Linked DNA regions of Struthio camelus. The protein of the gene in region 1 purifies or fractionates together with the protein of each later gene. This does not show direct contact. Links are inferred from orthologs where the notes say so. Each region holds a gene or a part of one and is shown on either strand. Other genes may lie near its edges. The genes, in order: DIS3L, MPHOSPH6, EXOSC6 and GIGYF2.

What was found.
Region 2: the proteins of DIS3L (region 1) and MPHOSPH6 purify together in Homo sapiens (affinity purification with mass spectrometry; 3 studies listed by BioGRID and IntAct, with this or other methods). This does not show direct contact. The link is inferred for Struthio camelus from reciprocal best matches to the Homo sapiens genes DIS3L and MPHOSPH6.
Region 3: the proteins of DIS3L (region 1) and EXOSC6 purify together in Homo sapiens (affinity purification with mass spectrometry; 3 studies listed by BioGRID and IntAct, with this or other methods). This does not show direct contact. The link is inferred for Struthio camelus from reciprocal best matches to the Homo sapiens genes DIS3L and EXOSC6.
Region 4: the proteins of DIS3L (region 1) and GIGYF2 purify together in Homo sapiens (affinity purification with mass spectrometry; 3 studies listed by BioGRID and IntAct, with this or other methods). This does not show direct contact. The link is inferred for Struthio camelus from reciprocal best matches to the Homo sapiens genes DIS3L and GIGYF2.

What each region holds. Positions count from the first base shown.
Region 1 is NC_090953.1:3,230,623-3,237,527, reverse strand, and holds the start of DIS3L (DIS3-like exonuclease 1), read left to right. Parts: upstream 1-3,891; 5' UTR 3,892-4,009; coding exon 4,010-4,139; intron 4,140-4,206; exon of another isoform or gene 4,207-4,263; intron 4,264-6,778; coding exon 6,779-6,905. UniProt on the Homo sapiens protein: Catalytic component of the RNA exosome complex which has 3'->5' exoribonuclease activity and participates in a multitude of cellular RNA processing and degradation events.
Region 2 is NC_090951.1:5,795,586-5,803,047, forward strand, and holds the start of MPHOSPH6 (M-phase phosphoprotein 6), read left to right. Parts: upstream 1-4,453; 5' UTR 4,454-4,551; coding exon 4,552-4,602; intron 4,603-7,462. UniProt on the Homo sapiens protein: RNA-binding protein that associates with the RNA exosome complex. Involved in the 3'-processing of the 7S pre-RNA to the mature 5.8S rRNA and play a role in recruiting the RNA exosome complex to pre-rRNA; this function may include C1D.
Region 3 is NC_090951.1:26,414,267-26,419,784, reverse strand, and holds EXOSC6 (exosome complex component MTR3), read right to left. Parts: upstream 1,360-5,518; coding exon 526-1,359; downstream 1-525. Other genes in the region: AARS1 (alanine--tRNA ligase, cytoplasmic), read right to left, coding at 1,674-1,859, 2,262-2,375, 4,039-4,125, 4,730-4,849, 5,223-5,336. UniProt on the Homo sapiens protein: Non-catalytic component of the RNA exosome complex which has 3'->5' exoribonuclease activity and participates in a multitude of cellular RNA processing and degradation events.
Region 4 is NC_090950.1:5,921,010-5,928,838, forward strand, and holds the start of GIGYF2 (GRB10-interacting GYF protein 2), read left to right. Parts: upstream 1-4,823; 5' UTR 4,824-4,954; intron 4,955-5,571; exon of another isoform or gene 5,572-5,657; intron 5,658-5,979; exon of another isoform or gene 5,980-6,006; intron 6,007-7,829. UniProt on the Homo sapiens protein: Key component of the 4EHP-GYF2 complex, a multiprotein complex that acts as a repressor of translation initiation. In the 4EHP-GYF2 complex, acts as a factor that bridges EIF4E2 to ZFP36/TTP, linking translation repression with mRNA decay.

The DNA.
Region 1 (6,905 bases):
CCAGAGCATAATTGCGTGAGAACTGTACATTATACTTTTTATGATAGATTAGTGCAAGGAGCTGCATATTAATCCTGAGACCATTCTAGATATGGGCACTATTTTTACAGTATTTGGGTTTTACTGAACCAGCAATACAGGAGAAGGAACCTCCAAGAGAAAAAATAGCATTTATTCAGTTTTGTATGAGTTAAGAAGCAGATGCTGAACTTCAAAAACTGCTTTAAGAATGCTTCAAAATTTCTTTAAGAATGGAAGAATCAACTTTAAAGATATCCTGTAAGACAATCGAATCTTCCATCCTCTACCCTAGCGATAGCATTCTTGGGAAAAATATGGCCTCTTTCAAATGAAAATACAAGATTTCTATTGATAACTTGGCTGTGTGGATACCAGACTTAAATACTCTGTCTCCTGTTTTGTGTTACTTTCTTAAATCTTTTTTCTCAGAAAGCCTGTAATAGGGCCTTATAGTTTATGTAATCCCGTCTTGTGGTGGTCTGCTGCCGACTTGTTTATAGGCACAGTAGCAAACCAGAATATAACTTCCTATATACTTTTCTGTGCTTACTGACAGTCTTAAGCACAATTTTAGCTGATGAAGCCCAATTTAGCTATGCAGTCCACCTCCCAACACTGGGGAAGGGAGCAGCTAGTGGCCTCTAATAACAGGCTGTACAAAACTCAGGAAGAAGTTCCCTTGCAAGAATAAAACTCAGCAGTTGCTTTGCCAGGACAGAAGTAAGGTATATCATAAAGTATATCTGTGTGGTGCCAACCGACACATACTGGTAAGCAGGTGAGCTAGTATTACATTAAATGGTCAACAATGTATTACACCTATTGCTGAATACCTGCTTTTCGTTTTATCTTGCGCATGTTCCACTTCCACATATATATGTCTGACAACAACCTACGTGATATTTTACTTCTACATCAGTTGCTTAGGTTAATTGTTTCCAGCTATTTGTCAGATGAGTCAGGCTTCAAGTCATGAGAAATCTGAGCTAGAAGCTGATACTCCCCAATGACCTGAAAGTTTTCTTTGCCAAAATACTGAGCAACTTCTATCAAAAGGTACTATATTGAAATTCTGCATTGCACCTCCTGACCTTTTTATAAGTAGGGAGACTTCCCGAGAGGCTCATGCTTCCCAGCATAGGCAACAACAAACATGTAACTGAACTTTCTAGAGAGAGTTCTCTGACTCATTTAAAACACAAGCTTTTCTAGTGCTTACTAGCGTTATCCAAGGCAGTAACTCTGAAGTAAGGAGAATACTCTATGAAAATAAAGAAATATTTGTACTATTTTATTTTCAACTGTTCTACCACATTTTGTTTCTTGGACACTTAGAGAAGGAAAAACTTCAGGAGGAAATTTATGTCTCACTGCTTTGCAGCTGTGCTGCACTCCACTTTCATTTTTCAACATGCAATGAGATCTTACAATATTGCATTTTTAAACATTTTAGCAGCTTTAAAAAAAAAAAAAACAATTAAGGATGATCTTGTTATCCTGGAAGTTTTGGCTCTCCCTCTACCCTGCAGCTTCACCCTGCAGAAACTTCTTGCCACGTATAAAACCAATTCCCAGATGATCTATCTCAAATCTCATTAGGCCAAACTCAATTGTTAGATGAAGTGTAAGTAGCTCCTTTTGGCTTTACTGACTCAACTCTAAACTGACTTTTACTTGTAAGAGAATGCTCTTGGGTGGTGGTGGGGGGAAATGGTGAGAATTTTAAAAACTGTCCATTTTAGAAATAAGCATGCAGCTACTCAGTAGTATCAGCATTAAATGAACTTAGCCCAAAGGTCTGGCATTTCTCTCTGTGAAACAGTGAACAAATTAGAGCACTGCTCTCAGTCACTTTCATTTAATTAGCCTTCATTTTATTACAGTCACTGAAGGACACTGAGTAGGCATGCAGGCCTGCGTTCTTCACTGTGTTACAGCAATCAGCAGCTACAGTGTTTCAAACTGAATTCAGTGACTTTTCTCTCAAATGTTATATTTTTCATTCCTTTTCTGTCACTACCGTTTATTTCATCTTTGTTCATACTGTAGAAGAGCTCTGTCATTTTGGTCTCCACCCCCCCTCCTCTCCTGCTTACATAATATGTCTAAAATCATCCTGACTAAGAAAAACAAGTCTACATTTTGGTCGTCTCTCACCAAGTTGTACTACCTCCTCCTCCTCATATGTTTGCGGACTTGGCTTCTGAAAATCAATTTTCTACAGATAGATGGCACTTCCATTTCCTGCCACCAACTGATTACTTAAAAATATTAGTCACTGAAGATACGCGTTTTATAAAATATGTGAAAAATAAGCAATAGAACAAACAGGAACATAGAGTGAAACACTGCCTTGGTTCTTTCCCACTGTCCCTTGGTTCTTTCTTCTCATAAGGACAAATACTAGATAGCTTACACCATGTATGTATTTCAAGTGAGGTTATGATAGATGCAATTCTGAGAAAGTATTACTGCTTTTTTATATTTAGAATAATCATCGCCAATAGGTTACACCAACATCATTGCAGCCTCATATGCAGAGCGCTGACTCAGACTCAGAAACAATGAGTTGTATTCATCACCCTGCCACTGCTTTTCCGTTTGATCATGGGCAAGCACTTCATCTTTCAGGGCCTCAGTGTTCCCATTTGTAAAATATAAAGGGCAATAATGGTCTCTACAGTAAAATTATTTGACTTGGGGCTTTTGTGCACTCCTCACTCACCCTAGCCACATTCCCCATCTTAGCACCCCTGGTGCTGGGAGGTGACCAAGCGAAACCAGATGATCTGAGAAACGGATCTGGGGCTGTGCCTGGAATAGGCTATGAAAGACCATGACGGTTCACATGAGCATTTATGCAGGACTACAGTTTAGATACAGCAAGACAGCCTCTTCTTATTTTTCCTAGACACAGAAACAGAAAAATTCACCATGTATCTTCACCACCACCACCCTCAGGCCACACAATCCACCCTAACAGAGGGCAAATTCTTCCCATTTGCCTTCCAAGGGACATCCCAGCCACTTTTTCAGTCTTTCCTCCACAGGCCCAAACCCTCTCAGTTTTACCTCACCGAGAGGAGAGCTATCCTCCCTGCTCACCCAGGCGCACAACCTGGGGCTCCAACGAACCCTGGTCCTCGCCAGGCTCCCCCTCAGCGCTGCTCCTAGCTCCGCCTCGAGGCTCGTCACCTCCCCTCAGCCCCCAGCTTGCCGCTGGCCCCTCACAGCTGCCCCGCTGCCCTCGGCTCGCTCCCGCCTCTCCCCTCAGAGCCGCCCCGCTGCCCTCGGCTCGCTCCCGCCTCTCCCCTCAGAGCCGCCCCGATGCCCTCGGCTCGCTCCCGCCTCTCCCCTCAGCGTCGCCTCTGCCCTCACCACGACCCCGCTGCCTCGGCTCGCTCCCGCCTCTCCCCTCAGCACCACCCCGCTGCCCTCGGCTCGCTCCCGCCTCTCCCCTCAGAGCCGCCCCGATGCCCTCGGCTCGCTCCCGCCTCTCCCCTCAGCGTCGCCTCTGCCCTCACCACGACCCCGCTGCCTCGGCTCGCTCCCGCCTCTCCCCTCAGAGCCGCCCCGCTGCCCTCGGCTCGCTCCCGCCTCTCCCCTCAGAGCCGCCCCGCTGCCCTCGGCTCGCTCCCGCCTCTCCCCTCAGAGCCGCCCCGCTGCCCTCGGCTCGCTCCCGCCTCTCCCCTCAGAGCCGCCCCGCTGCCCTCGGCTCGCTCCCGCCTCTCCCCTCAGAGCCGCCCCGCTGCCCTCGGCTCGTTCCCGCCTCTCCCGTCAGCACCGCCCCGTTCCCTCAGCCCGCTCCCACCTCGCCCCCGCCAGCTCCGCCGCCCCGCTCGCTCTCCTGCCCGCCCTCCTGCTCCCCGCCCCTCGCTCAGGGGGAGGCCCTGCCTCTCACGGTCGCACCGCCCCCCGCGCCATGCGCAGCGGCCGCGGAGCGCCGGGCCTGGCCTAGCGGCGGCGGCCGCCGCTTCCCGCCGCCGCGATGCAACGCACGGAGAAAGTGCTGCAGCTGCGGGGCCAGCAGGGCCGCTCGGTGCGCGTCGTGCGGGAGCACTACGTGCGCCCCGACGTGCCGTGCCGCAGCGCGCTGTGCCGCGCCGCCTGCCCGCGCGGTGAGGGGGCTGCGGGGGGGAGCGGCCGCCGGGGCTGCGCGGGGCGGAGGCGGCGGGAGGAGGTGGCAGGGCGGCCGGGAGCCGTTTGCCTCGGCGTGGAAAGCGGCCGGGGCCGGGCGCGGAGGTTGGTGCGTGCGCTGAAGCGATCCCCGGGCCGGGCGGGCCGGCGGCGCGGCCTGACAGGACCCGGCGGGAGAGGGCGCGGAGAAGCGGAGCAAGGGGCAGCGAGTAACGGGCGTGAGAAGAGCAGGACGAGAGAGTGGAGGACGTGTTGTAGTGAGGCAGGGGCGAGGGAGGAGAGGAGAGGGGGTGAGGCGCGGGGTTCGGGAGGCGGGTGGCGCCGGCCGGCAGAGAACGGGAGCGCTCATGGCACATCTCGCCCCGCCGCCGCCCCAGGGCGGCCTGTCCACGGTGCTGAGCACCGCCACATAGCGGCGGGGGAAATCAGGCAGCGCCAAGTCAGGGGTATAGCGAAAATACACCCTCAGAGCAAAATTCGCACGAAAATGAGGTGCTAAGAAAAAAGGAGAGCTGACAAGGGAAGTTGATTGTTGCAGGATTTGGCTGTAAACAGTTATTTTACAGACGCTGGTAAAACTCTAAAGGACCATGCAAGTTTAACGGGGGGAACACTCATGTTTTTGTGCTTCCTTTTTTAAAGCTCTTTCAAAAATGGATTAATTCCTGCAGGGCGTTGAGTTCCTGTGTAGCTTGAACTAAATTCTCTACGTATTTGTTGAGTATTCTTACAACGGGGCCAAGTAGGTGTCATTGAAACTTGTGTAATTCTGCGTCAGCAGTTATGTTGGTTCAATAATTAAGTTTAATTGTCCCTGCTATACCTGGGCATTTCAGACATGGGAAGACTGCCCGCTTCTGTGATTTCTAGGTTTCATGTTGTTTTTACATAGTGCAGCGCTCTTATGTACGTTATAGATCACCGTGTGATTGTTCGTTGATGTTTCTGGGTTTTTTTGTTGTTAAATAACACAATTTATTTGGTGCAAGAAAATAAATGACAACCAACACAACGTATAACACGTTTAAATCAACCAAATTATCTGCTGGCCTAAAAGAAAAGGCTAAGAATTTTAACTGTTTTTCTTCTGAACTGTAGTTGGCATAGATGTTGTCACCTCTGTTTTGTTTTTAGATGCCTGTTGTGATGGAGGGCAGCAGGTAGAGTAGTATATTACTTCTATCTAAGATGTCAGGACAAGGTTATTGTTACTGCTCTGTAATGGGTCTGGGAGCTGTTGAGATGTGTCATGTATTAATTCCTTTCCTTATGAATTCCCTAAGGATAAGTTACAGGCAAATACCAGACCAAATTCTTGCCTCTCTCTCCATGCCTAACTTCTGGACTTAAATGTAAATTGTGCCGTAATCAGTGTCAGAGTATGTCCCTTTGTAATTATTCTAGGTAACTCAGAAGTATGGTGAACATATGTTTTCACTCCTGAGTCTATATACTGTGCCGAGCAAACATATTTCACGCACTGTGGGAGCCTGCTTGCATAAATCACATCCACAGATATTTTTAATGGCATGCTATGCCTACTTAAAGTTATTCTGATCTAGATGTGTATGTTAGGCAAGGATAGCTTAATGTGAGCAGATTACATACATCTTCAAGTGACATTTCGCTCCTAATCCTCTTCTGAATTAGTAATAAAAATTAACTTTGTTATATGCGTCCTGCCATCGTCCCTTATATACCTTCAGTGTGAGATACAGCCGCATGATGCTGTGCAGAATTGTGCCCACTGGATTCTCACTTCTAGGGATCAGAGTCAATAGACAGACTGACTTGTGTCAGCTTCTAAGAAATATATGAAAATAACCTGATTTGTCAGGGTCTATAAAATTTGAATGTAATCTGCCAGCACTATTTTAAGTCCAGCAGTTCAGTGTTTGTAATAACACAAGGAATAAATAGACATGGAGAGAAAATGCAGTGGAGATCCCAAGGAAAAAAAAAGTTTACTGAGTAATCTCTGAAATATCAAAAGCAATTAATTAATTTTGGGGTATGTTTTAAAAGTTCTTATGTGATGGGTTTGTTTTGAGATTTTGATGGGATATGATTAAGGGATGGAGTCTCTTTAGAGAGAATTAACTATGATGGTAATAATTAGATTTGAGAACCTCTTCTCTTTATAATAGCATTGCTTTTCTCCATGTGTACCCTCACGTATAACCTTTTATGTACAGATACAGAAAAGAGCCTGCTGTAAGTGGAGAGTGTTGAATGGTGAAGATAATTGCACAAAAAGATTTGCTGTGGCAGATGTGGTCTCTCTTTTTATGTGGAAGTAGAGGAAACTGGACTGTTACCTGAACTTTTCAAGTGACATCCTTTTTGTAATGAAACCAGATTTTTTTTCACTCATTTAGATAGTATTTACTCAAAATTTTTTGCTCAGTGGATAATAGAAGGGCTCAGTCACAAATTGTAGGAATTGTACCGTAGCAGACGTACCATTTAATTGAACCGTGAAAATTCTGTTCCTCAGAAGAATAGATATATATACCTTTTGAAGATCCACAACTAGGATTGCCTCGCATTTGACAGTATTTTTAAAAAAACAATATTGCAATTGAAAGTTTAAACCTTTACACTTTGAATTACATTTTAGATGGCAAATTGTTGTCAGATGATGTGACTCATTATGTTGTCCCTGACTGGAAGGTGGTTCAAGATTACCTTGAGATTCTTGAGTTTCCAGAGCTGAAAGGTATTATTTTCATGCAAACAGCGTGTCA
Region 2 (7,462 bases), on another chromosome or scaffold:
AACCTTCAACCTTTCATGCAATGTGACTAGTTGAAACTATAAAAAGATTCAGTCACTGTAGAACAAGCCTGCAGCATCAATGTTTATTAAAGTCAGGGGAACCATTTATTGACCTGGGAAATAGCAAACTACCACCAGCGCTGCTGCATTGCATTTTTATGGCTAACAAATGGAAGGTAATATTTTCCTATTCTCTTTTAATTGTGATTCCATCAAATCCAAAAAGTTAAAAGCCTCTAGATTTTTAAAGGAAAGCCCGGAGAAGGGCACTCTAGACCGTGCCTTAGTCATTCTCCCTGCTCTGACTCCTAGCATTGGGATATATCAAATCACTGCAACATAGGATCAACTTTTTAGGCTTGCCAACAGAATAACAGACTGGTATCTGTTATCCACGCCACTTTAGGTGATGGTAGAAGATAGGGAGCTACCATTATGAAGCTGCTGCTTTTTGTAATCAAAAAGGAATTACTGTATTTATTCACACAAAGGTCACCCTGCCATCGGGACAGTCAAAAGCACTTAAAATGAATTGTCTTTTCCCAAACTGACAACAGGCACTTTCTTCAGATAAAAACATTTCTTTGCTGTTCTGGAGGTTTTGTAACTCCATTTTCCTGCAAGTACAGTTTTAAGTCATGCCTTTTCACACTGCATAAATTGTGATACTGCCCAAGGCTATTAAAGAGAAAACATGAGCAACGTGGGTCTGTGGTACCCAAATTATATGAGCTTAGCTTCTGCTGTAGGCTTTGCATACAGTTCCCCAAGCAAGGGAGAACTTGGGGTTCACCGAGGATGTAAAATACTCTGCATATGTCAATGCTGTAACCTAAACCGATGCCAAATTTTAAAAAGGGGACTTCAAAAACTAGAAGGATGAGTCAGTACGCTCTGAGCTGACGTGCTACTCTGAGGCTGAGAGCTGTAACAAGCCCATATCCTCTGCGGATTAGGTACAAAGCAGACTGAGCAACGTACCCGGGCCGCCAGGTTATACATGCATGCATCAAAGGCTAATGAATATTGTAACAAATCCCTGGTCACCCAGGACCTTCGGAGCTGTCGATATGCTGTATGCATTAGTGGCTCAGAACTTCATGGGAACAACAGAGATAAAAACTCAGTCCTGCACTTCAAAAACATGGGTGTCTACCGCTTGGAGAATTTCACACTATTTCTGCCCAAAGCACGGAGTACAAAACGGAGTGCATTTCTGATTCCATCCTGCTGGATACAGCACGCCGCACCTCACACAATGCTTTCAGATTTGCAAACAAATCTCCAGTAGCTCTGCCTCTCGTTTGCTCTTGCTCATTCACAGAGAACAACACATAATAGCCTCACTTAAAATATAGTAGAGGAGTTCGACACAAATGAATGACTCATCTGTCATGCTATAAGGATTTTGATTTTTGCAGGGAAAAAATGGCTTCAAATATTTTGAGACGTGTAAAATGGTGCTTCATATTCAAAGACCGTTCATAAGAAATCTAGACGATTGATAGAGGGTTTGAGAGACCTGTTTTGTCCTGGAATCACAATACCACAAGAATATGAAGAAATGAAAGGTTACTGGAAAAGGAACCTATGAGTTACCTCAGATTAGAGCCCATTGGCATGAAACTAGTACACAACTGTAATTTGTATTGTTCTAAAAAGGATAACTGTTTGAATAATGTTAATGACAACTTTGATTCCACTCCTGTAATTACTGGGGGGAGATGGGACTGCATTTCCTAGGAAGAAAAATCTTTTATCTGTTTGTTTAACATACAGTCTTTGATGAGTTGGAGCATCTTTCCCTTGAGTTATTTTCCTGAGCATTTTTGTTTTGAAAAATAACTGAATTTTCAGGCTGAAAGCAGAGTTGCCATAGAGCTGTCAGAGCTGCGAGAGGTGTCTGATTGTCATTTCAGATGACCCTGGTGTCTTCTCTAAACCGAGCATCTTTCCCTACTTGCCTCCTCACTCTGCTCCATCTCAGAAGCAGGAATATTTTCAGGGCTAGAGTCTACTCTCACCTACCCCCCCCCCCTCAACCAGTAAATCATAGAGATTTCTGCTCTCATCAGTGGCATGTCTTCAGATTTAGCAGACAGTATAATCCAGTCCGTGAGACAGCTGATTGTTATCTATAACCTCCCCATCCACTTCAAGCGATGGGAGATGTAATCCAAAAATTTCCTTCCGACTTTTTTACAGCTGAAATACATCAAATCCTGTGGCAGCCTTTTTACGATCTCCACTTCTCTAAATAAACATCACAGCGCCTGTACTACATTTACTGCCAAACGCTTCTGCCTTCAGGTTTGGACATGCTGAGGCAGGCATGCTGTGTTAGCTGATGTCCAAACGTACAGGACAGACGTAAGCCACGTGTCTCCGTGCAAGGCTGCGGTCCTGCACCGAGACACCATCAGGTCACGGGGTGCATCCAGGCTGTGGCCGCGGACCCAGAGCTCCTACTCGCCAAGGAACACATTGTGAATTATTAGACTCAGCTCCCAAAAATTAAAGGGTTGGTGCTAGCACGCTCCTTAACATCAAAGGTACCAGGCAACCAACACGTGAAGAGGTGGCATCCAAAACAAAGTTGTAAGAGAAGTTTGCTGGAGAAATGGGTTGCAAAAATGGATGAGATGAGTCACTACACCAGCAGAACAGGAAGGAAGTTGTGACGAAGGACCTCAAACAAAGCCCCGCAAAGCAGCAGCACAAAAGCTGGACAAGTGTTGACAGATGCACAGCAGTGTATTTAGAAGGAATCACTTGAAGTACGTTCCTGGACTGTAAATTAACTGAAACTGTTCAGAAAAAAAGACCTGAGTGACACTGAAGGCCATGCAATTAAACGCAGGGCTCAAAAGCACAGCAACGATCAACACGGCAAATTGAAAATAACACCCAAAATAGCAAGATAATGGATGTACTATGCCATTATATTAATTAATAGCTCTCCCATATTGGTTTATTCCGGTCTTTCACAAAGACAAATATACTCATTCTTCGATGCATATTTGTATTTGTAAAACTCAGAACAACTGCCCAGCTTTCTTTTGTTGGAAAGAGCTGATGAATGTTAAAGAGAAAGTGAAAAAAGAAGGTATAAACCTGATGGGGCTAAATGAAGTGGGAGTTATGGGCCACGCTCACAAAGAGACTTCCTTGCTGGGGCTTTGAATTTCAGAAACACTTAAGCACTTTCAATTCATTTTCAGACCTGGAAATGAGGGTGCTCCACCTATATGAGAATTACTTACTTAAATGCAGTTTTATCACTGTCCTAAAAGTGATTGTGGCTCTGTGTTTCAATCATTTTAACCTATGGAGCTTAACTGTGTAATAAAGATGCCTGGATTTTGATAATTCTTCCTTCTCCTTTCCCACCGCAGGCAGGTTTTGCCCTTCGTTATACATTTTTGTGAACTCTATTAGAATATAAATCTTTACATATGTTCTTCAAGCTCACTTTGACCTACATTTTGGATGTATGGCATTTTTTTTTCCTAGTTCGTTTTTTTGTGCACCCCAGTTCGTTACACTTTTGCACGGTGTACCCTCACTCTTCTTAGTTTATTGCCTGGTTTATATGTACTGAGCATCCAGAGAGGCCTCGGGAACCTGATTTATCAGAAGGTATATGGAAATTGTGGTACCTGCTTGTGTTTTGGAAGTCACCCGAAAATTGGGAGTCAACTGAAATTATGCCAAAGGAAATTTGGCGTAAGGATTTCTTCGTGAGCGTCCAGAGCCCAGCCTGGTAGCCTAAAGGGAGAACTGCCAAGCTCGGATTCCAAAATCGTGATTCAGGATGAATCAATCATTTGAAGTTTTTTATAACAACTCAATTCAGTTGCTTCCCAGTTTTAATCACATGACTATTTTGCCTTTTTTTTTTTTTCCTCAAGTAAAAGCGCTTACTTTTAAAAAACGAAACCTAAACAGGTCACGCAGTCTCTCAACGCCAATATGAGCAAACTTTATATAAAATCTCCCTCCTTCCTTCCTATAAACACCAGAAAATTATGGACAAAACTCTACACTACGCAGCGCTAATAAGAAATCCAGGATCCAGGACGCTTTTATTTAATCTTATTTTCGCACCAGCTGGGGAAGACGGGGCCTTCCCAGGAGCGGGCCGTTGGCCGGGTACGCGGGGCGTCGAGCGCGGTTAGGGAAGGCGGCCCCAGCCCCTCGCAGGCCGTCGGGAAGGAGGGTCAAGTCCCAGCTGCGGCCATCTGCCCGCGGGGCGCTGCCCCTTCCCGCCCCGTTCGCCTCTCGCTCCCCCCCCCCCAACCCACGCAGCAACCTTATTTCCTCGGGATTATTAAGTAAAAGCAGAGGGGCTCAGGCTCCGGCCGGCCCCCTCAGCAAGAGCAGGGCGGCGGTTCCCCAGGCCGCCGGAGCCGCCCCCGAGCGGGAGGAGCCGCGGCGCCGCCCTCCTCCTCCTCCTCCTCCTCCTCCTCCCCCCCTGCGAGGGCGGCGGCGGCGCTAGGCGAGGGCGGGGATCGGCCGCGGCCTGCTGGCGGCGCGGGCCCGGCGGCCGCCATGGCGGGCGAGGTGAAGGCCAAGCTGTCCAAGAACCTGCTGCGCATGAAGGTGAGGCGGCGGCGGCCCTCGGAGGGGACGGGGCGGGTGGGCGCGGGGGTTGCGCTGGGCCCCGGCGGCGGCGGCTGAGAGCCGGTCGGGACCGGAGCCGGGGCCGCCCTCCGCGGCCGGAGGGATCAGCGGCTGCCGCTAGGCCGGGCTGCCCCCGCTTTGTGTATTTCCACCCCCCCCCCCCAAAAAAAAAAATCCCCCCAAAATTTTTAAAAAAGATCCCCTCCGGCCATGCTGCCCCCCCCCCCCCCGCAGCCCCCCGTGTGTTTGAAACCCTGGTGAGAGGGCTCGGGGGGTTGGGGCAGGAGAGGAGCTTCCCGATGGCAGCGGAGATCTGCCTCCGGCAAGAGGGCAGCCCCGAAAAACGCTGGAGCGTCTCTTCTCGCCCTCCGGTTTCTCTGCGAGCAGGTCGTTTGTCGTGAATAAAAACGATTAGACTTCTTCCCTTCCCTTTCTATTATGTTAATACTGCTTGCCTTATTTCAGGGAGCTTTTACCCTTGATACTTCTGTGCTTGGTTGTGTGTGTGTGTGTGTGTGTGTGTTCTGGTTTTTTTTTTTTTTTCGGTCAGTTTGCATTGAACGTGGGGTTTTAACCACCTTTCCCTTCCCTTCTGCCAACCCATGAACGCCAAGGCCATCAGTAAAATAAAATAGTGAGCTACCCGTTACCCTTGGAGTTGTGACCCTCGTGTCAAGGCTGATGTGAAGCGAGTCTCCGCTTGCCGGCCCGTGGCTTCTGGTTCACATCGTGTAACGCAGCCCCTAATTCAGCAGAGTGCATCCCGCTGTGATTGATGGCCCTCTTTTTCTGGAAAACAACCAGTACAAGTTGCTATTAATTGGGGTTTTTTTGTTTTTTTTTTAAGTTCATTAAACATTTGTAAGTGGCTGAGCCCTTGTGGCTTCTTGATTGTGGTGTTTTACCTAAGCGTGTTTTTTTTCCCCACATGTATATTTGAGAGCATAGTTCCCATTTTTCGCAAGATGCCAGCGGAAAGGAGTTTATCTTCCATGTAAAATGGACTCTGCTACAGAGGGATGGTGGAATATTAACAGATTCTGCTAGCGAAAGACTAAAATTGGTGCGCAGAGGGAACCAGACATAACGTTCCTTATTTTTCAAAGCGAGTAGATGATGCACTTAGTTAGCCAGCAGCGCGTGGCAGAGGAGGACTCCTTTTGCCTGGATTGCATTTGATACTTTCTTTTTAAGTGAAATTCCTGCTACTGGTTTTGCCAGTTTATTAAGCCTCGGGAGATTTTGGCAGCCAGTTTTCAGATGCCTCTCTTGAAAGGCTGTGGAGAACAGGCATGCGAGTGCAGCGCCATGACAATTGCTGGTTTAGTATGAGCAGTAGGTCCGCTTTGAAGAGATGAATAGGCTTTGCAAAGGCCATACATAACCCATTTTTATTTAGCATTTTCCTTCTACAGATCTCCTTGTTTACCAGTATTTTAATTAATCGTGTAAGAGTTGCCTCTGCAGGTATTGTCACCATTCTAAGGGCAGGTTCCCAGTGAACTGGGCCCAGAAGGTGGTGTGGTCAGTGGCAGTGCTGTTGAAGCCCCTTGCATTAATTGCCGGACTCCACGACTTGCCTCGTGGTGTCACAGCGTGGCTCACGCTTCTGATTCTTGCACCGTTTGATCCAGGTTCCATTATTCGGGTAAACTGATCCAGGAAACACTCAGCTAATGACTTGCGTGTTCTGTGTCTACCACAATTGGTATCTTTTAATTCATTCATGCGTGTTTACATTGTAGATAAATATGATCACATTTTTTTATCTAGTTATTCCCTGTGGTAATCTGTAGGAACATAATCTTTAAAATGTAGTGTAAAATGATTATTTAATTGGGTGCGTGTAACAAAATTTCTCCTGTTGAGACTTCTGACTGGCTAACCAATTTCCATGAGCGGTATGGTTTTCCACATGATAGATTCCCATATTTTCCTCAAGTAGATACTGCAATTTTAATTGGAAAGCTTTGACATGTTTTGGGCCGACTCAGAAAACAAAAATCAATTTTTCTTTCATTAACTTGTACACGTGGATGCAAATAGAAATATAAATGGGAAAGGAGACACTGGCACTGTATTGGCTTTTACTTCAGGATTTTTTGTTTCATGTTGCTGTGGGCATTTTGTAAAGTCTGAAAGGGGGGGGGGTATATATTTTTTCTTTTTTTAATAAGCTCAGTGACACGGGAGCTGTGTGTGAGAGGCGTTTAGGGATGCCTTCCTGGGCCTTACCCCCAAGCCAAGGCTATTCTAGCTGGGACCAAAAGTATGTCAGAGCCTCTGCTACCACTCAAGGTACAGATGTGCCCCACTGGCTTGTTAACAGTCAGCCTGCAGGCTTATCTAAACACAGGAGTGGTGCTGCTTTAAATGAGAGGGGTAGAATTAGTTGATATGAGATTCCTGTGCAGCGGTGCACATGCCGTTATACAGGTATGCTTTGATGGCCACATAGCAATTTTTGTACAGGTATGTGTATAAAATTTACTGATAGACTAGCCTCTTGCTGGGAATTGTGTTGCTATAAATGTGTAGCCCAGACAGATAAGGTTATTCAAAGGCTTTCTGTAGACTCAAAGGGAGGTCCCAGCTCCTAGGGATGTGAGAATATAAGGGTTATTACTGTAAAGCTGTGAAGAGTTCTCCTTTCTCTAGCGTGTTTGGTGAAATGGGTTAACATTGTTGATGCTTAAATTGGCAGTCAGCTCAGGCACTTGAGCTGATGCAAATGGAAATAGAAGGGGTGTTTCACGTATCTCAGATGTGTAGGTTTGCTCTCTCAGCAGTCTGTCATGGGCTGTGAGAGATGCCCTCTCCTACTCCCAGCTGTGAAGGA
Region 3 (5,518 bases), on another chromosome or scaffold:
TGGGGGAATCCAGTGGTTCAGGCAGCTGATCTTGCTAGTGTAGGCAGTCCCTTGGGTGGCCCAGGTGGGCTCCAGCAGTGTAGAGGGTGGCACAGGCAGGCTCTGGCAGCTGAGGCAGGGTAGGGGCTGCTTTGGGGGGCTCAGGCTGTGTGGGGGCCACTGAAGAAATGTAGGAGGCTCAGGTGGTATGGATGCCACTCGGGGGGGGGGGGGGGGCTTGAGCAATATGGATGGGCTGCTCAGGCATGACCTGGGGACTGGGAGGTCTCCAGTGATGCACGGGGTTCCTCAGGAAGGCTCTGGAGGTCTCCGGCAGTGTAGGCGGCTGCTCAGGTGGGCTCCAGTGGCCTCAGGCAGTTTTGGGAGCTGCTCTAGAGAGGTCGCTGGCAGTGCAGGAGACTGCTGGGGCAGGCTCTGGGGGTCTCTGGCAGTGCACGGGTACAAATCCGGAGGGCTCCAGCAGTACAGGGGCCACTCAGCTGGACTTCGGGGTCTCCAGCAGTGCAGGGGGCAGTTCAGGCAGGCTCAGGCAGTCGATGGGGTGGCCCGGCGTCGGGCAGCGCGCAGGAGGCTCTGCCGCAGCACGGGGTAGAGGCGGTGGCAGCCATCGAGGCCGAGGCGCAGGGCCTGGGCCCAGCTGTCGGGGGGCCCGCCTTGCCCACCGCCCAGCAGCCCCGACACCTGGTTGAGGGAGGGCAGCAGGGCCACGGTGAGGCAGGCGGCAGCGCGGCGCTCCTCGGGCTCGCTGGGCTGCAGCAGCCAGCCGGCGGCGGCGCCGGGCGGCCGGCACAGGGCGCAGCCCACCGCCAGGTCGTACATCTCCACGCCGGCGTCGGCGAGCGCCAGCGCGGCGGCGCTGACGGCGGCGGCCAGGGCGGAGCCGCCGTCCTGCAGCAGCAGCGCGCTGACGGCCAGGCGCGCCCGGGGGTAGCGCGCCAGCCGCACCGCCGGCTCCAGCGCCTCGCGCAGCGCCGCCGCCGCCTCGCGCTCCGCCTCGCGCGCCGCCGCCGCCCGCGGCCCGCGGCCCGCGAAGGGCGCGCGCCGGAACTCGCACACCAGCCGCCCCCCCGCTGCCGCCGCGCCGCCGCCGCCCGGCTCCGCCGCCGCCTCGCGCGGGCCCCAGGCGGCGCACAGCACCTTGGTGCCGGAGCCCAGCTCCACGTAGGCCGAGCCCTCCGCCTGGCTCAGCAGCCCCGCGCGGGCGAACAGCGGCCGCAAGGCGCACGGGTCCCGCCCCCCCTCCTCCTCCTCCTCGTCCGCCGCCGCCGCCGCCCCCCCCGGCCCGGCGGCCGCCGCCGCCCACACCTCCGGCGGCTGCGACTCCTCAGGGCCGCGCAGGCGGCGGTGATCCAGCGGCATCCTCCGGCCGTCCGCAGCAACGAGGCAGGCAACGAGGGAGGGAGGGAGGGAGGGAGGGGCGGAGGGAGGGAGGAGCCAGCCCGCCCCGCAAGGAGAGCCAGCGGCGCGCAGGGCACGGGCCCTTTATTAGTACTCAGCCATTGCTCAGCTGAAACTGCCCGCGCCGGGCAGGGCGAGAGGCGCCGCGCTCCCGCCCGCGCCTACCGCGCGGCCGCCGGAGCACCCCGACCCGCTCTCGCTGGGCCCCGCCGCCCCCGGGCTAGCAGCAGACGCTGGCCTCTGGCTGCTCCCCCAGGGCCAGCACACGGCGCCCTTCAGTTCTTCAGCTCCCCCAAGTGGAGCTTGGCAAAGTCCGTGGCCAGTTTCAGAGCCTGCTCCAGGCAGCCAACGTTCTTGCCTGTAGCCTGTGCAGAGACGTCTTTACCGCCGCCTTTACCATCCATCAACGCAGACACCTCCTGCACCCACTGACTGGCCTTCAGGCCCTTCTTCACTGTCTCCTGCACAGAGGGGGAAAAAGAAAAAAAAGAGGAGCTCAAACCTCAGAAGAGAGGCTAAGAGCACGGTGGGATAGGACAAACCTCTTTCCTTTGCAGCTCCCAGGGGTGGGGAGAAGCTATGCCAGCAGTCCAGTGGCAAACATCCTGCCTCGGTGTTTGCATGAGCACACTGAATGCTGGCTCTTCCTGCTTCTTACCAAAAAGATTCAATACCTCACCCCTCCTCTGACCCTGCAGCATGATAATAATGCAAAGGCGAGAGACCACAGCTGCTGCAAACCTGCATCTTTGGCCTTGCAATGTTAGATGCCGCTCCTCCAGCTGGTGGGTACCCCAAGGCTCAGAGAAAGGCACGCACACACACACGCACACACACACACACATGCGCACACTCTGTGTTACCTGGGGTACTTGACACAGGCAGGTGATTCTGCCGGCTTCGTTATCTACAGCAAAAAGCATGGTGGCAGTCTGGGGGGACTGAGTCTTGAAGAGCTTCAGAGATTCATTCAGCGCCTGTGGGACAACAGTCACGTCAGCACATCTTCCACCTAGCTTGCAAACAGCCCTGTTCCAGTCCCCACACAGCACTATGCAGCCATGACGAGGATGGTCTGCAGGTCTCTTCAGAGACCAGAGTACAACCCACCAGCCAGTAGGGAATCCGGACTTGTATTAAAACAGCTAGCAGCACCCTGTGGCGCTCGTTCTCCCAAGCACAGGGCCTCTTCATGTCCCTGGCTGTGGTGAAGTCGTGGCAGAGACAACCTGCTTTTCTGGCTGCAGGCAGCTGCTGAAAGCTGCACACAGCTACCTGACTGTGCCCCCTCACAGCTGCAGGGAGAGGGGACTGAGGATATGCTTTTATTTCCCTACGTTCAGCTATCTGGAGACTTGCAAAATTCATGGCTCTGCACCCACAAAGTGAATGAACCTGTGGTTTGGCTATAAGTGTAACAGACAGAGCGGAATATGCTCTGCTGTATTCAAGGGAGGGGGCGGCTGTTCTGTGGAGAGCAACAAGTCAGGAGGACTTGCCTGGAACGTGAAGAAGCTACAGGGGTATCGGACAATGCAGCCACACTGGAGAGACTAGGGAGACTGCCAGGCATCCTATTATTTCTAAGACAGTCATCCTTTGCTCTTGGGGACAGCACGGTACAGCACAGAGCTCCTGGAGCAGGCTCTCTAGTGAGCAAAGCGTTGCTGCAGCAGTTGGCTACTAAACACATGGCTGCTCCCCTAGGCTGCCTGCACTGCCATCCCCCAGGATTCACCCATCTGCCAGAGATGGGCTCACAGCCGCACGCTCCGTGGAGCATTCCCATCACCAGGGAGAATGCCGCATTGGCACCCTCTGTGGCAACAACCCTGCAAACAAAGCAACAGTTTCAACTCCCACACAGCTGTGAGCAGGAGCGCAGGCACCATGGAGATGGGGACAGCCAAAGAGAGTGGGTGGGAATCTATAAGCAGGATCAGCTCAGAGACTGCTGAAGCAGAAATTTAAATGGGACATTAAAACTTGATGGTTCCAACATCACAACAACATCGGCCCCCGCCACCTGTCACTTGCTAGGCTAAGCAGTGCAGCGCACACAAGAGAGCATTTATTCACAACAGCAACTGCTAGGAAAGAAACTTAACTTCTGTGTGGAGGAGGAGGAGGGACAGAGCAGTTTCATCCCTGACCAAAGAAGAACTTGAACCTTACTGCAGCAGATGCAGTGCCCAGGAGCTGGGGAACAGCTCTGCAGTATTGTCCTATCCATACACTTAGTCCAGGACACTGTGTTTCCAGAGCTGATTTGCAAGAGTCACAGGCAATACAACTTCTGTGGATCAGCAGACCTGCTTTTAAGAGTTCTTGCAGCCTGCATTTCATGACTCCTTTGAGATCCTTCTTATCTGGGACCCAGTGCAATTTCTGCATGGCTCCCCATCTTCCACCAGGTCTAGAGATTCAGCATATAGCCAAGACCCCCTCCAACATGTTTGTTAACCCAGGAGGTAGGACGTAGAGATCATCACAGTGGTCCTTCCCCCTCTTCACTAGCACTGCTGGCAGGTTGCAAGCTGGCTCTGTAACACAGCACTGTCTTCTCAAGCGAACAGGGACTATCTAGCTACTTCTTAAGCACAACCAGAGTTGTCGGGGAGAGACCAGACCTTCCCATACCTTTGCTGAGGCTCCGTTTTCCATTTCCATGATGACCAGTGGCTGGTTAGGGTGACTCTCAATGACTTGCTTTGTCTTCTCCAGCACCTGAGAACAGCAGCATTCAGAAGCTGAAGCATGCACATTGCATACGGACACAAAGAAGACCTGGGTAAAACCTCTCTGCAGCTACAGAGGCCCCCCAAGGTTCTCCCAACACACCCATGGCCCAGCCTGGAGCAGCCCCACACTGCAGAGCCAAAAGCAAAATGTGCTGGCAGGTGCATGTCTGATCTGCAAAGTAGCAATACTGCTGTGAGTGGTGGCCCCTCCAGGAAAATCCAATGAGATTCAGAAAGAACCCCATATCGCATGCCACTCAGGCACAGGGGCTCCACCATGAGGGCAGGAGCCTCCCATCTCCCAGGAGGTGCCGCAGGCCCTTCATGCTGGGGACCAGCAGCAGAGGCAGCTGTGCTAAGGGCAGTGGAAGCTCTTTACTACAGAGCGCCCCCATCATTTAACACAGTTGCAGAGGGTGAGCCAACCTCCATGCCAGGGAGGCAAGAGCCATAGTGCAGCCACCAGGTCTTGAGGAGAGAGCAGGGCATCCCCATTACTCAGCTCCCTTCTGTGCTGGGCCAAAGGGAAGCTCCCAAGGGAGCCCCCACAGGTTCTCCCAAACTGCCTTTGATTCCTGCATAGGGCTCACTCTTTTCTGGATGTTGGCTTTGCTTGCCCGGTCCAAGTCATCCATAACCTTCTTCAGTGCTTTAACAGCCTCTCTCAGCTCATCTTTCTGCCACTGTGGAATAATGGCAGTGGCCAGTGTCTGCAAAACAGGAAAGGGTTAGGTGACCACAGCACAAGGCAGGGGCTGCTGCACCACTCTCATGAGCCCCAAGCGCCTTGACTGGTAGAGCCCAGTAAGCTACCCCTCCCAATACCCAATGACTTCAGGAATGAGGTGCTGGCTGCAGCATCCACAGGACGCAACGCTTCTGCTTTGCTTGTACTCTACAGGACAAGACTACAGTTCGCAGGCAACTACACCCATGGGGATAATTGAGACCAGGTGACTCCAGACACTATCCAGGGAGATACAGGAGCAGGAAACTGAACTTGGGCCTTGTTAACATCACCCACTGCTGGCAATCAAGGACCCCACTCACTCTAGGAAAGTAGATTAGTGCCCTCATCCTCACCTCACTGAGATCTGCAATCTCCTTCTGTACATCCTTGTTGGGAGCTGTCTGGACCTTTACTTTGGCGTCCAAGTCAGACAGCAATTTCTTGAGGCTGTCTACTTTCCTGAGGGCCTAGTAGAATAAAATTCAAGTTATGTTTTGCGGGGAGAGTTACTGAGCTGAGCTCTGGCTATAAGAAGGCATCAGGAATGCTGCAGCCCCAGGCATGGGGGCTCCTATCCATTTCCCCGCTCAATGGGGAGTGCAGTGCCAGGGGCCTGAATAAATTCTGACACATGTGACTCCCAGAGGAC
Region 4 (7,829 bases), on another chromosome or scaffold:
TGGACAGTGTGACTGGATGGCACATTGCATTTTTATCTTTGGAAATCTGCTCATAGCCTGAATCATAAAGGTGACTTTGATTTCATTAGAGCCATGCTAGATAAAACTAGCCCAGCATACTGATCAATCCCTGCTCCAGAAGGGACAAGCAGACAGATTAGCACATGTAGCTGGACTGAATTTAGAAGGCTTGCACTAAGCTTAGCCATTTTCTTTCACAAACACAGAAAGCTTGCCCATAGATGTTAAAATGCCTGAATCTTGTCTGGATATACTCTGTAGGTCATGACCAAGGGAAACAATGTTCCCTTGGTGAGACCTCTCTCTAAACATGGATTTGCTCAAGTTATTTGCTCTGTTATTGCCCTGGTTTGTGTGTGTATTTCTTTTTTTTCCTCCTTCCAAAACAAAACTCACTAGTCGTCTTTTCACTTGTCTGTTCTGCTTCTTAAACTGTGAGCACTAAGCTGTGAGCATGGAATAATAAATAGAAAAACCTCTACTCTTTAATGTCAGGTGAAAGAATTGCTAAACAATTAAACTGTGTATATATCTTCACAGATTATATTTTATAAAATCACGCTTTTTTAGCTAAATATTTATAATTAAATGTTTTTATACTTTACAACAAAGCAGATAACTGCATCTTCAATTATTTCTCCTGTTGCTGAAATGTACAAATAAAGCCTTGTTATCTCCAGTCTTGCATGTGGTTGATTTTGGGTCCTTCCTCCTGAACATGCCTCTGTTTGAGCCCCAAAGTTTGGTGGCTTGACTTGGATAAGCAGAGAAGTGTTCAGCCCCTTCTCGATATGCCCTCTACTGCTATACAATAGTTCTGCTGTAAAAAGCCCTAATGTTTGCAGTTCTTCTGAAAGGGATGTGGCTGTGCAAATATTTGAAACACTGTCCACTGCAAAATGTTGATATCTGAACATTGTCAGCCTTCCCTTATCTTGAAATAGATACTGCACCTCAGCCTCTAGTAGTGTCTCATCTGGGAGCCTGAGTAGGTTGGTCTAACTACATTTCTCTTTGTGTTTCATCATCCTGCCTTCATAGGAGAAAAATAAATGCATCACAATCTGCAAGCGTTTCCAAGAATCTTATTCTACTTGTGCTGATCTGCTAAGCTTTGCTGGCACGGCCAGTGTGGAGGGCTAAGGAGGAGGCCTAATTAGGCTTCATTGCAGGTGTGATCCAGTGATGAAATGGAAATGCTGTATCCAGTACAGATCTTCAATCTAGCACTGCTCTGTGAGCAGTTCATGCATTTGCTGCACATCTGTGAGCCCTCAGGTCTCTGGGGTCATGTAAAAATCAGAGTGAAGGAAGGCTCCTTGCTCTCCACTTCCTTTTTGCAGCTGTCAATGTTCCTTTTCCCCCTCCTACCCCACCACAGCAAATGCTGCTGCCTTGGCATAGCAGTTCTACAAAGGGAAGCAGGTAACATGTGGTTGGGGGAGGAGCCCTGGGGAGCAGGAGGGGAGGGTGGAAAAAGGACTTCCAAAGTGACCATTTTAAGACTTGAGTCAACTCCAGCTGACAAGTTTCAATAAGGAAATGAGTAGCATGTCTGGCCCTGAGGTAGCTTGGACTGCAGAGCCGGGAAGGTAAGGATCCTTCTTTTGCCATGCAATCCCAACGTAGGTGGGTCAGCAGGGACAGGGAGAATTCACAAATAAGGAAAAAGGGCTGCTGGAGTTGCCCACCAAGGAGATTATCAGTAGGCCTTGGAAACTTGTCATGTCTGTAGTCAAGACTTTCCTCTTTAGCCCTTCTCCCAAAGGGTGGACTTTGCTCATTAGTCCTTTTCCCAAAGGGTGCTCAGTCTATCTGCTGAACTAATTGGATTTTTTTTCTCAGCCCAGGCTTCTTCTGTGAGGTTCCTCTTCTCTGGCGTATGCAGGACAATGGCATCAGGTTTCTCAATGTTCAGTTTTCTGCTAGAGTGGTTTTGTTCAATTCAAGCAGATGCTGTTAGCTGGGGTCTGTATTTAATGCAGTGAACAGTATGTGCTTTTGGGTGTACAAATTTTTTTTTGTTTGAAGGTGCAGCAATGTAAGTTTTGAAGTTAGTTTTACAAGAACTGGCATTTGGAATATAAACGCTCTTTAAATTTTCTGTTTGGCTCGGAACTATTGGATTAAATAACATAGCGTCTTCAGGTTATGCAGAAGTGCTAAAAAAAAATTGCCTAGATAAATCTCCAATCCAATACTTATTGGCCCACAATACCTATTCAATCTTATTTAGCTGTACTTAAAATCTTACAGTCTTTGATACTATGTCCTCCTTCATGTTACTTTTATGCTTGATATCACCACAGGTGGCTCCAGCAGGCCCAGGCAATTCCAATTCTGGTTTCCGATACCTGCTGGTACATCGATACCAGTCTGGCATTACTGACATGCTTGGAGTGACCGTGTGCGTTGTGATAGGGAGGAGAAGTGTGAAGAGAGAAACCCTAGAGAGGTGATTGATGAAAAACCTGTTGTGGATTTGGGTCTTTTCCAGAAGGGAGGAAGACGTGCCTCAAATTGCTCATGTAAAGCTCAGGGAAAGGGAAACAATATGACTGGGAGTATCTCGTCTCTTCTTCCTGGATAAGCGTTCAGGCTTTAACTGTGAGAATTAAGGTGACCAAACTGATTTTTAACCTTTTGGGAGTGTCCAAATAAATCCCTTGGCAAGGCAGATTGAAGTGACCAGAGTGCTTTACTGCTCCTGTTCAAAGTTAGTTTGCAGTGTGAGAAGGACGTCTTAAAATAACTGGGTGCTGCAGAACTAGCAGTATATTTGTGATAGTTTGTCTTTCAGCATAAGCCACCTGGGGTGACAGACGCATTGAAATGACTGACTTTAAAGAACACGGTCCGGTGTTCACCTGCCTGCCTCGTCTGTTGTTTTTATTATTTTTTAGGGACTTCACAAATGAGGGCTGTTCACCATTCCCAGGGAAGACAGAGGCTGTTGAGAAGATAGCGACTGTTCTCAGACAAAATGCTTGGTATATCAGCAAACACAGTAGCTGTGTCTTAAAGTAACTAAAACTTGAGGTGAGGAAGGCAGAAATGACGGACTCCGCCATGCCTTCTGAGCTGCTTTATGACGATTATTTACCTATTCAAAGCTCTGCTCTGCGTCCCTAGCTCCACTGCTATAGTAAAGCAGGCAGGCTCCTGCTTCCAAACTAGGATGCCTTCAATAAGGATTTCTTTTGGTTCCTTAGCGATTCCATTTCCCTACCCTTGGGTTTTTAACAGTGCAGTTGAACTGGCATGGCATCCGAGATGGCTTTAAAGTACATCATATCTTCAGTACCTTAGTAAATGTCAGACTGGCTAGTGAGCTGATTTCATACCTAGAGTACATCAGCTGCAGTCATGTAATTAAACCATGGAGGAATTTAACTGCACAGATACACTCCTCTATGTTCATGACTCACTGTTCTGCTTGAAAGTGTTATGGATGATTTAAGTGTGTTATGGATAATTTGAATTTCCTTGAGATATTTTCAAAAAACGCTAAGTTCTGCACATGAGACATCTTCCAGACACTCTCGTCTTGACATTTTTCTCTCAATAATGTAATGTTTGTGCTAACCGGGGGAAAAAAATTCTGTAAGTTTTAAACTTCTCCCATCTCCGATGTAGCTTATCTTAGAGGACATGAGAGTATTTTTGAGTGCTCCTACTCACGTTCAACAAGCAGAATAATAAGGCACAGCCACTTCTGGAGTGAAGCTGAAAGGTCTGACTGGCAGCTTGATGCGCACCACTGCATCTCTCCCTACTCACACCGTTATTGATATTGGCTCGAGCTGTGTGGCAATAACCAGGAGAATCAAAATCTAGCTTATCAGAGCCCTTTGCTAGGGAGCTTTCTTTTTCAAACCAGCCTCCTAAAGGAGAATTTTCATTCTAAGATTTTGAAGGGAAGCAGTCCTCTGTTGCTCTGGGCTAAAAATAAGAGCTCAGAATGATGAACTTTCAACCCGTTATCCCAGAGGAATCGCTTGTGTGCACTGTCGCGTCATCTTTGGCCAGCATTCAGTGCACAATGACAAGTATTTATTCACCTAGAAGAGCAGAGCTAAAGCTAAATGGATTGTGGCTGAAGTCATGACTGTTTCAGCTGAAAATGGTTATTTCTCCAAAAGCACGTAACAGCTAAGAGTAGCTTTTTTAGGCTGAAATAACCACACGGGGCTATTCCGCGTCGTGTACGAACAGGGGTTTCAGGGCTAAAAATAAAACAGTATTTTTCAGCTGGAAAAGCTTGCCCTGAGCTCCTGACGATGTTCCCGTCAGGCAGTTTAGTATCAAAACAGCTGCTGTGCCACCTACCGCGTTTTCTCCAGCTGCCAGCGGCGGCCGCCGCCTGAGGCCCGGCCTGCCCTGGCCGGGGGCCGACACCCGGGGGCAAAGCACCCGCCTAACACACCGTCGGCTCCCACAGCCGGGCAGCACCGGGCGGGTTTTCAGTGCAGCCACTAGGACGGAATATACCCAGAGGTAACCTAAAACCGCCAGGCGTGAGGGCGAGGAGCGCCAACGGCCGCGGCGCCCGGCGCCGCCTCCTTCCCACAGGCCTTTGCGGCGCGGCGGCGACCGTTGGCGCCCGCCTGCGGCAGGCGGCGCTCGCGCTCCTCCTGGGCCGGGGCGGGAGGGGGGGGCTGCGCGCGCATGCGCCTGGGGCCGCCCCCTGCGGGTGTCGTCAAGTGGGCGGTGCTTCCGCGAGGGCGGGGAGGGGGGAAGGGGAAGGAGGAGGGAGGGGGGAGGAGGAGGGGGAGGGGGAGAGAAGCCCGTTTTCCATCCGGGTCTCTGCGGCGGAGGCCGGGGGGCGGGGCCCGGGCTCACGTGACGTTGCGTGGCGGCGCAACCGCCATCTTGTGTTGTTGGGGCTGAGGAGTCGCGGTGGCCGTGAGGGACTCTCCGTCCGGGAGCGCAGGTACCGCCGCGCCGCCGCTGCCTCCGCCCGCCTCACCGCCGTCCCACCGCGGGACCGCACCGAGCCGAGCCGAGCCCGCACCCCGAGCCCCGGCCTCGCCGGCGGCGGCCCCTGTCCGCCCCGAGCCCGGGCTGCCGCAGCCCGGGGCGCCCTGCGGCCTAGCGGGAGGGAGGCCGCCCCAGGCCGGGCCGGCGGCGCGGGGCCCCTCTTGGGTCTCCCCTGCTCTCCTCGGGGCTTGCTGGGCCCGGCGCCGCGCTCCCCGCCGCCGGGCGGGCATCGCACTGTCCGTGCGGCCCCTTGGCATTAGGGTTCGGCTTAGGGACGGTGCCTGTCAGGCAGCGGCCGGGCGTCGCGCCGCGTCGCGTCGCTTCGCCTCGCCTCAGCGCCTGAGGGGCTGGCAGCTGCGGCCCCGGCGCCGCCTCCCCTTGCGCTGACCCGTGTGAACTCGCTCGTCCCCTCCCCGCCCCGCCTGGCTGGGCCTGTGTTTTGGCCGTGCCGCGGGCAGGTGCGCCCTCGCTGAAGCCTCCGTGCCCGGCTCCCAACACGCCCGGCTCTGTCAGGTTGTACGGGCTGAGGAAGGAGGGAGCTGGTCGCGCACTCGAGCCTTTCCCCCGCAGGCAGGAGGGTGCTGGGAGCAGCAATGACCAGCAGTGTTTGACTGGAGAGGCCTTGGCAGGCTGAAGAGCACATCGATCAGGATTATGTACGTTTGGTATTGATCCAAGACAAGTAGTTTCAGTGTCAACAAAGCAGTCTCCGCTCTTTCAACTCTGTGTAACTGCACTTTGAAGTGGGGCAAGTTTTAGGCCAAAAGGAGACATTGCCAAGTGACACTTCTGGAATAAAACCTATATTTTCCCCAGTAGTCTTCAGCCTGCTGCTTTTGATTTGCTGTTATAATACTACTCTCTCTTACTGTAATTCTTATGTATCTGTTTTCTTGGGGTGGAGGGGAACAGACTTTTGAATTCTGCCTATGTTCTTCTGTCTAACTTCTTGCTGCTCATTCTGTTTTCTTGCTTCAGGATCTGACTTGGGCAAGTTCCTGGAAAGTACGTGTGAATTTTCTTTCCTTTTCCCATAACTCTTGCAGTTGCGTTTTATTTTTAAGTTACTTCTTAATAAACACATTCAGTTGATGCTTTTTCTGAATAGAACGTTTGGTAGATGTACAGAGTGATAATTTGGACCCTTTATGAATGAAATTGGTTGCTGTAGTCCCTAACAAGAGCTTGTTACAGGTATTCTTGAGCTCTGTTTTTCAGTGGTGGTTGTAATAGATAATACTAGTTCTAGTGTCATGCAGTATTGGTGTTACTGGCGTTCACTTGACTGGACCTCCTTTGGTCAGTTAACTGATGCTGAGGTAAAACTATATGCCCTAGTCAGTCCTAGTGGTGTCAACAAAAATGCTAAAGTGTCTTTTGCCCCTTCTGCACCCTCTCCACCTCCCACCTCATATAGACGTAAGTCCTACAAGTTAATTAATGTCCAAGTTCATGTGTGTCAATGTTAATTCCTCACTGAACATGTGATTGAAAACAAAGATTCAGTATAATGGCCAACTATATTAAAAAGAACGTAGAAGTTTATCTGCAGGAGTTGAATGTCAGCTGTCGCCTTCAGGAGGACCTGCTTTCTATTTTTTAGGATGCTCATAGAAAGACTTTAATACCTCAGTAAAAACTCTGACCCTTGTAGATCTTCTCAGATTCAACAGATGTTGATCTTAAGGGGACTTTAAAGTATCCTCAGATACTTAGTGGCTCTCTTGCCTTCCTAAAAACATGCAGTAAATGAAAAATGAGATCTCTATACTGACAGAAGTGAAAAAGCTGCATGTAAATAATGAGTTGAGATTTTACCTTAGTTTTTCTAATAAATCCACTTCTTGATTGATGAAAGGATTTGGCGTGTCAAAGGGGAGTTGAAAAGGGTCTGCAAGGAAGCTTTTTTTAAGGAGAGTTCAGAATAAGTGCCATTGTTTCTCTTCTTCTCCTGCTGTCTCCTAAGGTCAGTTGTCTAAATGGAGTCGTATCAGAAACTGGAGTTTCTTAAACCTGAATGTGAGGAAAAAGTTGGCAGCACTTTTAGGATGTGTAGATACTTCCTTTCTGAAGCAAACTTGATGTCAAAGTCTTGTAGAGCATCTCATTAGGGTAGGCACACAGACTGACTGAAGAGGTTATTTGCTAGTATGTACCTCTGCTGAAAAGTCTTTGTAGTTATTTAAAGGTACAAAGGGAAAAACAGTTGGCAAAATCAGTTCATAGTAATCTATGAAGATGAGTTAGGCGCATGGACCATGATCTTTTCCTTCCCTTCTTCACCCTTCTTTAAAGTGGTTCAGCCTCCAGCTCTTTGGTGGTGGTGTTGGAAATGTCAAGAATATGAAATATGATTCTGCTTACTTTTGTCTGCTCTTGTAAGCTCAACTATCGAATGCGCTTTTCTTATTCTTGCACTGAAGTCTTTAACCTCCCTTCCTACTGCTTTTTAAAGTATGAAGCTAAATCTTCCTACAGTCTGATTTTTAAAAATTCCTTTCCTTAGCTTTTTTTGTCTATGCTTATGTCTTTTTTCTTAGTGCCCCTGCTCAAAGATGAAATGAGATAAACTATATTTAATTTACAAATAGAGATAGGCAGAGGTAAGGGACTGAGCAACAACATTTCAGATCATAAACCTCAAAGCATGGGCCTGATATGTTTCCTCCTTCCTACATAGCTTGCTGGAGATCTATTGAATGTTTTGGTAGGGAGAAATCCATCTCCTTGTTATTGAAAAGACATTTATGTTGAAAGAGATCTCTTTCTTCATGTGGTTTCTCATTGATTTATTTTAATTCATTGAGTGACAGTTGAAAACTTAGGTG